Linked DNA regions of Lepisosteus oculatus. The protein of the gene in region 2 interacts with the protein of the main gene of each other region in a pairwise test. Links are inferred from orthologs where the notes say so. Each region holds a gene or a part of one and is shown on either strand. Other genes may lie near its edges.

Region 1 (3,753 bases), on a different chromosome or scaffold from region 2:
AGGGGGTGTACTTATTTTTTCCCACAGCAGACAATTGCATTTCTGACTTTTTTTCTGTTGAATAAATGATTGAAAATATTCATATTCATTGTTATTTGTTATATTAGATCACCTTTATCTATCAGTATTGTTGAAATGAAGATCAAATATCCATACATGCAAATATTTGAAAATCACACATTTTCATGGGGCATACTTACTTTTTCACAGCACTGTAACCTCTGGGTGCTCTGGTTTCCTCCCACAGCCCAACAACATACAGTTATGTTAATTGGTTTCTGGGAAAAATTGGCCCTAGGTGTGAGTGTGTCTATATCTGTGTTTGTGTCTGTGTGTGCCCCACAATGGACAGGCGCCCCATCCAGGGTGTATCTTGCCTTGCATCCCTTGCTTGCCAGGATAGGGTCTAGCTCCCCTGTAAATCTGAATTGGAAGAAGCGTTTAGAAAATGGATGGATAACATTAGAACACAAGCGATTTCATAAAACTTTAAAGTAAGCATATCCTTAAAAAGAGCGCTGGAAGGGACTGTGGGCCCTGTACAGGGACTTAGGAGGAAATCCCTGCTCCTTGAGCTCCTGCAGAGGACTGGACAACCGCAGTTTCAGAGCAGGACAAGGACAACTGCAAGTGGTAGAGTTTGGAGGGCCTCTTTCACTGTGCGAATCCAGCCCCAGCATCCACTTGCTGTGATTGATAAAGGACAAACACCCTTTTTAAGAACTTTTGTATTATATTAGAATTGGATAGAGTAAGAGCGCCCTCTGGCCGCAGAGGGCGTGACACCACCTCAGACTCTCCCTGTCTGACTGGCTGACCGCTACAATATTTTAACAGCTACAATATTTACGATTTGATTTTTGCTTGTACAAAACCTGGCACTGTCACCAGATAAATACTGGTGATCTTAAAATCAAAACAGCCTAAAGAGAGACCGATAAACCACTCGGATTACTATGGAAACCTTCGTTGTTGAGATGTTAGAAAGGAACAGTGCGCCGCAGGAGAGAAGGAGCCGGTTCCTCAGTTACTGGTGCCCTGGCTTGTGTTTTACTGTATGTGCGGTACTCCCACTCCCAGGCGCTGCTCCACCTTCACCACCCCCGTTGGCGCTCTGTGTCCACCTCACTGTGCTTTACCTTTTTGCTTCACAATGCTTAAATGTTAATAAGGCTAGTTTGAAAAAATCTCTTAATATGTTCATTTATTTAAAAGAAAACGGCGAAATAAATACTTAAGTGTCGACAGTGCTGTGACTGAAACGTTTAACCAGGAGCTGTAAAAGGGATTCTCCTCTACATACTGTGTATTGTACAGTACTATGAGCTACAAAGTCGTGCGGCTTAATATTATTTCCGATCGTACCTTCTGTGAGCGTCTGCTCGTTTCCCGTTGTGCGGTCTGTGACAGTGGTGTGGACTCCACGAGAGGGGAAAGTGAAAAGAGTGGAGAAAGTAAAACGGATAAAAAAAAAACAAGAAGAGGGATAAAAAAGGAGACTGCAGTTTTCTTGGCAAATTCAATGAGCTCATTCTGACAGACAGGAGGAGGGCGGAGTTTTTTTTACAGCATCATCGTCCTCATCGCGCTGTGGTACAGCTGCTGCTGATGATGTGCAGGGGGAAAGGAGAAAAATCAAAGCCATGGGTAGAGCTTTAAGGATTCTAGGCCTTAATTCATTCTGGAGGTTAATAAAACGGTAAGAATTGTATCGTTTTCTAGTTATTTGTTTACACCCGCATCTGACGGTTTGAATCAGCGTTACATCAGTTCAGAATTAAAACAGGGATGTGATGCTCTGTACAGTGGAAATGGAGAGGTATTTACAGCCGGCGTCGTGTCATAATAGGATAGAGGATTTTTTTCCCACCCGATTCATTTGTGTTGTCATGTATTAGCGAGTAACGGTAATCTTTTGTTTTGTTTTTCCTAATTCCGGGCACTGGTGCTTTGTTTTTCGTTTCATGCACTAAGAAAGAATACAGTATTCGATCGTCATGACACAGACGTGTGTTTGGTTTAAGCGTTCATGTGGCTAGGCTTGGCCTGTGCAGTAGGCTGAGATCAGCCTTTGGGTAACGACAAGTGCATCTTTGGTAGTCATTTCTGATGCTGGTTTTAAAGTGAAATAGTACTACACAGGCCATTTAAAAGTGGGAACAGTATTTATTATTAAATAGTGAGTTCCACATGCTCTTAGGGTAGGCAGCTACCTAATTTAATTTGAATTGTCGAGTACCGGTATTTCATTGTTTATGTTTGAGGCTTTCCTCCCAGTTGTGCAAAGGTACTGTAATAGGGGTTGATGAAGCGAATATATGGAGTCAATTCTTCCATCCTCCTAATTACAGTGGGGCTTCTCTTGTGCCAATTTATGCAACCATATATATTTCACTAAGAATTGTGATAAGGCTCATTTATTTAGGCACATTGTCGGTAACAATTCAGTAGACTGGAGATATAAAGTTTCAGTAAATGTCACCTATTCTACAATGGCTGTGTGCAGTTTGTTTGGATGCTTTACTTTCTTCTCCAGTCCAGATTTATGTCGATTCTGACTTTTGCGATCTATTTGTTAGATACTATTGTTAGGATCATTCTAAAATTTGATATACAGTATGAAAGCAAATGGAAATAGAGGACATTCAAGCAAATGGTATTGTAATATAAGACATGGTAGAAACTATGAAGTGTTTAGTGTTATGGTATTTCTAGTGTAATTTTAGAACAGGCCATTAAAGTCGCCCCATTTTTATTTACTTTGGTGCAGATTCATGATCTTTTTCCCTGACACACTTTGTGTTGAATTCTCCAAAAGCAGTTGCTTCTTTCTTAGCTAAGTAATAACTTTAACTTTGCTATTTGTTAATTTTACATTCAACAGCAGTATACCATGCAAATACACATCATATGGATGCCAGTGTTAGAAATATAAAGATGGAAGTTTGTCTTTAACCAATAATAAAAAAAAATGTGAGTTTCAGGTGTCAGTTCATCTGTGGTCAGCCACACTGGCTCTGTGAGACCATCTTGATATCCTGCTGTCACATTTGCTGTCATTTACTTTATTGTATGTGCTTCAGTTTCTTTTATATTCATGTTAATATTGCCCTATATTCCTTACCTTTGAGAAACCAGTCCAGCTTCACACAGCTGTTTGTTCCTTTTTAGAATCCACGCTGTGTGTTAGATGACCAGGCTTGGGCATGCCTGGTGCTTGAGGGCCAGTGTGTCTGCAAGCTTTATAGGTCTCTTCACAACACCAACACATGAAGAGCTGACAGAAACTGTTCCCATTAAGCCAACAATGAGCTGATATACAGTAGGTTATGATCTGAAATGCAGACTTTAAAACTTACTGGCCTCCCAAGATTAGGTTCACCCATCCCTCAGCAGCTATAGTGGAGAGCCAAGCTGAGAGAGTGAAACTCATTTCTTTTGCTACTCCATTTGGATATGAAGGAGAACCTTAAGTGACATGCTTCACTCTGGCCACAGTGTTAGGAACCCTCATGAGTACACTATTTCAGCTGAAGGTTTTAGGAGCACAAGACAAAATGCCCTCACCTTCCCCGATAAGAACAATCCCTGGCTCTTAATCTACTTGTAACTGAAGTGACAACACAACTGGAAATCACATGGAAGTATACATAAAACTGCAAACAGAACTTTTATACCCAAAGGGTTTTAGGAGTGTGGAAAAATCTACCCAGCCATGCTGTCAAAGCCAGTATTCCTGGCTTGTTTTAAGAA
Region 2 (3,753 bases):
CCAAGACAGGTACACGCACAGACCAGGATCACACTCGGTGATTACACTCATAAAAGCCCTACACACATAGGTCTGTAAAAACAACCTCCATGAACAGAAATTCTTTCCCAACTTTACAAATCTAATCCCAGAATTCCCACACCTGCCAGAAACACAAAAACTCCCAATCCTACTGGGAGGGGCAGGAGAGAACTCAGTTGAACTGGCAGCCCAGTGTGTGAGCTCCTGTCCCAGCCTGAGGAACAGACAGTGAGCCTGTCTCAATAATAATACAGTGTGTGAGCTCCTGTCCCAGCCTGAGGAACAGACAATGAGCCTGTCTCAATAATAATACAGTGTGTGAGCTCCTGTCCCAGCCTGAGGAACAGACAATGAGCCTGTCTCTCAATAATAATAATACAGTGTGTGACCTTCTTTCCAAGCCCGAGGAACAGACAGTGAGCCTGTCTCTCAATAATAATAATACAGTGTGTGACCTCCTGTCCCAGCCCGAGGAACAGACAGTGAGCCTGTCTCTCAATAATAATAATACAGTGTGTGACCTCCTGTCTCAGCCCGAGGAACAGACAGTGAGCCTGTCTCTCAATAATAATACAGTGTGTGACCTCCTGTCCCAGCCCGAGGAACAGACAGTGAGCCTGTCCCTCAATAATAATAATACAGTGTGTGACCTCCTTTTCTAAGCCCGAGGAACAGACAGTGAGCCTGTCTCTCAATAATAATACAGTGTGTGACCTCCTGTCCCAGCCCAAGGAACAGACAGTAAGCCTGTCTCTCAATAATAATAATACAGTGTGTGACCTCTTGTCCCAGCCCGAGGAATAGACAGTGAGCCTGTCTCTCAATAATAATACAGTGTGTGACCTCCTGTCCCTTGCTGAGGAAAAGACAGTGAGCCTGTCTCTCAATAATAATAATACAGTGTGTGACCTCCTGTCCCAGCCTGAGGAACAGACAGTGAGCCTGTCTCTCAATAATAATAATACAGTGTGTGACCTCCTGTCCCAGCCTGAGGAACAGACAGTGAGCCTGTCTCTCAATAATAATAATAATAATAATAATAATACAGTGTGTGACCTCCTGTCCCAGCCCAAGGAACAGACAGTAAGCCTGTCTCTCAATAATAATAATACAGTGTGTGACCTCTTGTCCCAGCCCGAGGAATAGACAGTGAGCCTGTCTCTCAATAATAATACAGTGTGTGACCTCCTGTCCCTTGCTGAGGAAAAGACAGTGAGCCTGTCTCTCAATAATAATACAGTGTGTGACCTCCTGTCCCAGCCTGAGGAACAGACAGTGAGCCTGTCTCTCAATAATAATAATACAGTGTGTGACCTCCTGTCCCAGCCTGAGGAACAGACAGTGAGCCTGTCTCTCAATAATAATAATACAGTGTGTGACCTCCTGTCCCAGCCTGAGGAACAGACAGTGAGCCTGTCTCTCAATAATAATAATAATAATAATAATAATAATAATAATAATAATAATAATACAGCGTGTGAACTCCTGTCCCAGCCTGAGGAACAGATAGTGAGCTGGTCACGCAGTTTAAGCTCAGGAATCTGAGACGTTAGCCAGGCCCAGATCAACAGCACCAGGGACTCCAGTCACAGTCAGTCAGGACTGAGGTTCCTACCCTGACAGTGCGGATGTAGTCCAGAGAGTTTGGCACAAGAGACTCCAGTTCTGGAAACCTCTTGGAGTACTTGTCTCGCACGAACTTGTGGATGATATCTGGGAGAAAGAGGAACAGCAGGACAGAGGGGGAGATGGTCAGTGTGGAAGAAAGGACCCACAGAGCGCACAGGACTGCGAACAGTGGGCACCCCTTTGTGCTGAGAGTCGTGGGAGGAAGGCTGCAGGCCGGACACTCACTGAGCTCGTTGTCGATCTCCACGGTCAGGTTGTTGGCGTCCACGATCAGCCTGTATTCCGGGTCGGCCTCCACCGGCCCAGAGACTGTGTGAGAGAGGGAGGGAGAGTCGGGTCAGAACAGACTTGCCAGCACAGCATCACGCCGGCGCCACCCACTCGCTCTTACCTTCTGAGGTCTTGCGCTGGTTACCAATGTACTGACTGATCTTCTCCATTATCTCTGCAAACTAGAAAGACAAAGAACAGAGGTATTTCACAGCACAAGTCACACCTCGTCAATCACAGCCTGAGAGACACTGAGCCCTGAACTGTCTTTCTCTCACACACAAACCGAGCCCTGAACTAACTGTCTCTCACACCGAGCAGTCTGCAGTCAGGCGGATACAGGCGGGACTCACCGACTTGCTGTGTCTCAGCTTGGCGATGGAGGTGACGCTCTCTGTGCCGCTGTAATCCACCTCCATCTCCTCCGGGATGTCAGCCAGCCCCCCCGGGCCTTCCGCCCCACCCTCCCCATCGCTGTCCGCTCCGTCGGCCCCCTCTGCCCCCGGGTACAGACCCGGCTCGTCGCCCTCGTCTCCAGCCTCCTCCAGGTCCGCCAGCAGCTCGTCCGCCAAAGACATCTGAGAGAGAGCAGAGCCCCAACAAACCCCTCATCTCATCAATCTTAAGAGACTCGGCTGAAACCGCAGAGTCCTCTACAGCAGCGCTCCGGGGACTGAAACACTCTCCGCCCCAGCGAAAGGAAGCGATCTCTTACCTCTTCCCCTTCTTTCTGCTTCTCGGGTGGTCAGATAAACAAACCAGGTCCGGAGATCTAAGCGAAAACAGTTCGAGCTTCACAGCTTCCAGCACACCGACCGCACAAACTGCGTCACCTCCCGTCGCCGGTTGATGACGTCACAGTCGCTCTCGCGTGGAGGCCTAAAAGAACGCGTTGTGCCCATGTGATTTCTCCAGGTTACGCAGCGTGAGATTAGTGACGTCTACTGCACTGGGACTGCAGCTCCTATTGTAACAGGACTGTTCTACTGCACTGGGACTGTAGCTCCTATTGTAACAGACTGTTCTACTGTACTGGGACTATAGCTCCTATTGTAACAGGACTGTTCTACTGCACTGGGACTGTAGCTCCTATTGTAACAGGACTGTTCTACTGCACTGGGACTGTAGCTCCTATTGTAACAGACTGTTCTACTGTACTGGGACTGTAGCTCCTATTGTAACAGGACTGTTGTACTGCACTGGGACTGTAGCTCCTGTTGGAACAAGACTGTTCTACTGCACTGGGACTGTAGCTCCTATTGTAACAGGACTGTTCTACTGCACTGGGACTGTAGCTCCTATTGTAACAGACTGTTCTACTGTACTGGGACTGTAGCTCCTATTGTAACAGGACTGTTCTACTGCACTGGGACTGTAGCTCCTACTGTAACAGGACTGCTCTACTGTACTGGGACTGTAGCTCCTATTGTAACAGGACTGTTGTACTGCACTGGGACTGTAGCTCCTGTTGTAACAAGACTGTTCTACTTCACTGGGACTGTAGCTCCTATTGTAACAAGATTGTTCTTCTGCACTGGGACTGTAGCTCCTGTTGTAACAAGACTGTTCTATTGCACTGGGACTGAAGCTCTTATTGTAACAGACTGTTCTACTGCACTGGGACTGTAGCTCCTATTGTAACAGGACTGTTCTACTGCACTGGGACTGTAGCTCCTACTGTAACAGGACTGCTCTACTGTACTGGGACTGTAGCTCCTATTGTAACAGGACTGTTCTACTGTACTGGGACTGAAGCTCTTATTGTAACAGACTGTTCTACTGCACTGGGACTGTAGCTCCTATTGTACAGGACACTGAGTCTAAGAACATAAA
Region 3 (3,753 bases), on a different chromosome or scaffold from region 2:
CTCACATTTATTCTAATAGCAGACTACTTTAATGACATTGCTATTGTTGAGAGTCATCTATAAATTGTCTTTCTCTTTTTAGTAATTTTAAACCATGATTGTATGAAAAGAAACCTGCCTCTTATATAACACTAAAGCGTTTGAAAGCAAGTAGCTGGGTGTTCTGATCAGTTCATATATTCAATTCAGTTCAATTATTTTTGCTACTAGTAAGTATATGAATATGTTCATGTTGGCAGCTGCGTCAGCATGCGTTGTGCAAAGTAACAACAGGTTTATTCCCTGCTGAAAAGAGAAGCGAGAAAACATGTTTTGGCTGTGAACCCTTCTTCAGGTGAATATGACAGTTTATTTTGTTTCCAGTGATTTTTCCCACAATTAAAAAATTAATGTGGATTCTTTCAATATTACAATATAGTACTTAATGTTAATGTTAATGTTGCTTTATTAGCCCTATACATTTCTTGCATTAGGAATTCGTCTTTTCGCATACCCCAGCTTGCTCTCCATGAGACACAGACAGGGAGAGAAGCTGGGGGTCAGAGCGCAGGGTCAGCCATTGTACAGCGCCCCTGGAGCAGTTGGGGTTAAGGGCCTTGCTCAGGGGCCCAACGGAGTAGGATTCCTCTGCCGGCTGTGAAATTTGAACCGGCAACCTTCCAGTCACAAGCACAGATCCTTAGCCACAGTACTTAGTAATATTTTATCCTACCTTGAGTCCTAAAAAAAGACTTTGATTATCAAATTTCTTGTACTGCAATCAATAAAATATCGACAGCATTGTTATATGATAAAAAAACTGTTGTAAATAATAGCTTTTATAGCATGAATTGCCAAACTAAATGTGTATAAAATGCAAATTTAAGGGGTTAACATTTGAAGGTAATTTTTTTTGTTTTGTTTAAAGAGTAATTTATTGATGCTGATAATATTTCTTTGTGGTATTGTAGTATAAAATGCTGCAGAAAATGTAGCCGCCCATGTTTTGAAGTTATATAATAAAAGCGATTTCTCCTCAGGTACCGGAAGACGCGAGAATACAACTGGTTTTAGAGACGACGCATACAGTACATTGACGTAAATCATGGAAACAGAAAAAAAAAGTTTGCTCTGGGATCTAGTGTTAGTACCTAGTAAACTAAAACTGAGCAGAGTGCGTAAACGCAACCAAAACCCATGCATAACCTTCGATTGCCGTATAATGAAGAAATAAATATGAGAAAATGAAAAGCTGACTTCCAATAACCATCAAACAACGAACTGCATGGGTTTGCAAGGCTGGTCTGTTTTGCACCTGCTGATGCCTGTATGTCACGCCCACCGGTTTCTCAGGGACTGTAATTAAAGCCCAGGTGTCAGCCAATACTGTGAGCAGGTACTGGTTGCCTGGCAACAGGTTCGCCAATGACCGTAACGTTTGTTGGTGAGCCAGAGAGTCGGAAGCTTCAAACCTGCGCCTGTTGAGAGAGTGGGGGAGGTTGGTAGTATCAGCTGTTGGTGATCAAGAGATTAAAATATCCTACTTGGATGCTGGGGACTTGTCTGAAGTGGATTTATAGGTTTACTGTGTTCTGGAGAACGCCGGTGTCTTAGGAGAGGAGTTCATCTGGTGTTATGTAGTGAGTGTCTTTTCAGACCCCGTTTCTCTTCTGCAGCCCAATACGCAACTGAGCCTATAAGATAGCTGTGTGTTTATAATAATTTTGTAGTCAAGTGTTAAGGAGCATAATTCAATTGCTTAGGTTTTACTGCCTTCCGTGTTACGTATTTGATTTCGCTTCCTCAATGCATTTTATTTATGATTCCTTGGAATAAAAAATTTCTGAACTAGTTTATTTGTATGACTGGGACGTTAACGTGTTAAAAAAGCTAGGCTTTAGCTAATCCTCTGAATCAACAGAAAATCGACCAGCTCCGTACGGTCAGCATTTTTGTTTTCCAGTCCTGGTCAAGCCGTGGCAGTCCAGCGGCCCTGTGTCTTGACCGCTTTGACTTGTGAATTGTGGTCTAACCGGTTTCATGAACTGAAATTATGATAATTGTCAACTTTTAGAAATGTCTAACTACTATCACATTTAATCTTTTTATACATTTCTCTTTGTTTACGTTATACCCGAGCATGCTTTTTGTTTCTCGGTTTACACTGATTCTCACTTAATTTGAGCACATTTCTCAATCAGTTTTTGTTTTATGCGACTATATTGATGACTCCCATTGGTTTGTATTGCTGTATTTGGGAATATTTTTACTGGTGTCGTGACTAGACACTTTAATCATGTGAATCATGTAGTGCCGCTTTACTAAATGGTAGAAACCTTTTTTTCTTGCTATTGATAATTCTAAAAATATTTACATATTTTGTGTACTTTTTTTTCAGAAGGCTTCACAAGCTACCAGGGGCTTGGCAAGTCTGTTATTAACTCCCTGTTGTGATGGTACCATTTTTAATATTGGCATGTTGCCTGCTGCCGGTGAAACGGTAGAACATGTCCTTTGTTATGTATATGAAGTTTCTATCCACTGTGCTCACTCTGGTTCTGGTTTCTGAATTGTTCTTGACCCTTTCATATCAACTTGTGATAATGCATGAGAAGTACTTTTTTGCCCAACTACAGTTTGGGATGCATGACTTTTATATATTTGTCAGTAAATACTTTGTATAAATAATCGAGCTGTATGTTTTGCTTTTTATTACAGCTATAGGTGGTAGGATGCTAGATGGTGCCATCTTACACTTTATTTTGGAAAATAAAATGAACTAGACATCCACCCACCAGCTCACTTGCCTACCGCTGTATTGTTAGTAGGATAGAATCTATTTTAATTACATGCTAAGCGTAAAATACACTGTTCTAGTTATGGTGCATGTAGGAAAGCTGAAGTGGGGCACAGCAAATTGTTACTGGAAATTCTGGTAAGAGGAGGGACAAAAATCGAAAAGGAACTGTGCCTTTCACATTTCCCTACTTGAAAGGGTTTGAATAGAGTTAATTTTGTTGCCGTGTGCTGGGGGAAATATTGGTCCACTCTAAAAGTGATTTTGTCCTTTCTTTTGCTTTCATAAGAATCTTTGAATCATTGTGAAAGAAACAAATGGAGATCATTTGGTTAGAATTCAGATTTGTGTTCTGATTTTTATTACTAAAAACATTTTTACATCATTTTCAATTAAAATTGATAAATGTGGTAATGTATTCTTTGCAGTAAAAAGGCTATAAAGTAATGATGCAGGGTTAAGATTTTTATGATGACTTCTTTACTTTTCATAATATTCTCATTACAAACTAAAGTAGATGGGAGAGCCACGAATCTATGGTTGCGTCATGTCCAGTTGTAATGTTATCTACGATGTGTAACATGGTAAAACAACTTGCATTTTACAATGCTTCTCTCAGTTGTTTTGTTTTATTAGAGCAAGTGCCTCAATCTCTGTAGTATTTGGCAAATAAAAATATTACACTACTTGCAGAAGTGTGATCTAACTAGACATGTATTAGCTGCACAATGCTTATGAAGTAATTTTAAATTGCCAATGGCATTTAAAAAAAAATTGCAGAATTATTAAAAATTTGAATTATTTTTACTTCTAGCTTCAAGCTACATTTAACAATTTAAGAATATGTAGAAGAATTTTAATTCTGCCTCTTCTTGTAAATCAGTCATATATCACATTTTGTGTGCTGTCTTGCTAACGTACTGACAAAACAGGTTTGTGTTGACATTTTCTAGGTCATATTGCAATGTAAGGGATCC

Evidence for each region.
Region 1: the proteins of prpf31 (region 2) and jakmip2 interact in binary tests that used the Homo sapiens proteins (3 or more experiments, as listed by UniProt). The two-hybrid records come from large-scale screens. The link is inferred for Lepisosteus oculatus from reciprocal best matches to the Homo sapiens genes PRPF31 and JAKMIP2.
Region 3: the proteins of prpf31 (region 2) and ssx2ipa interact in binary tests that used the Homo sapiens proteins (3 or more experiments, as listed by UniProt). The two-hybrid records come from large-scale screens. The link is inferred for Lepisosteus oculatus from reciprocal best matches to the Homo sapiens genes PRPF31 and SSX2IP.

What each region holds. Positions count from the first base shown.
Region 1 is NC_090706.1:26,813,160-26,816,912, reverse strand, and holds the start of jakmip2 (janus kinase and microtubule-interacting protein 2), read left to right. Parts: upstream 1-1,565; 5' UTR 1,566-1,699; intron 1,700-3,753.
Region 2 is NC_090718.1:264,869-268,621, forward strand, and holds the start of prpf31 (U4/U6 small nuclear ribonucleoprotein Prp31), read right to left. Parts: upstream 2,778-3,753; 5' UTR 2,636-2,777; intron 2,499-2,635; coding exon 2,274-2,498; intron 2,103-2,273; coding exon 2,042-2,102; intron 1,960-2,041; coding exon 1,876-1,959; intron 1,735-1,875; coding exon 1,637-1,734; intron 1-1,636. UniProt on the Homo sapiens protein: Involved in pre-mRNA splicing as component of the spliceosome. Required for the assembly of the U4/U5/U6 tri-snRNP complex, one of the building blocks of the spliceosome.
Region 3 is NC_090704.1:174,379-178,131, reverse strand, and holds the start of ssx2ipa (synovial sarcoma, X breakpoint 2 interacting protein a), read left to right. Parts: upstream 1-1,421; 5' UTR 1,422-1,619; intron 1,620-3,753. UniProt on the Homo sapiens protein: Belongs to an adhesion system, which plays a role in the organization of homotypic, interneuronal and heterotypic cell-cell adherens junctions (AJs).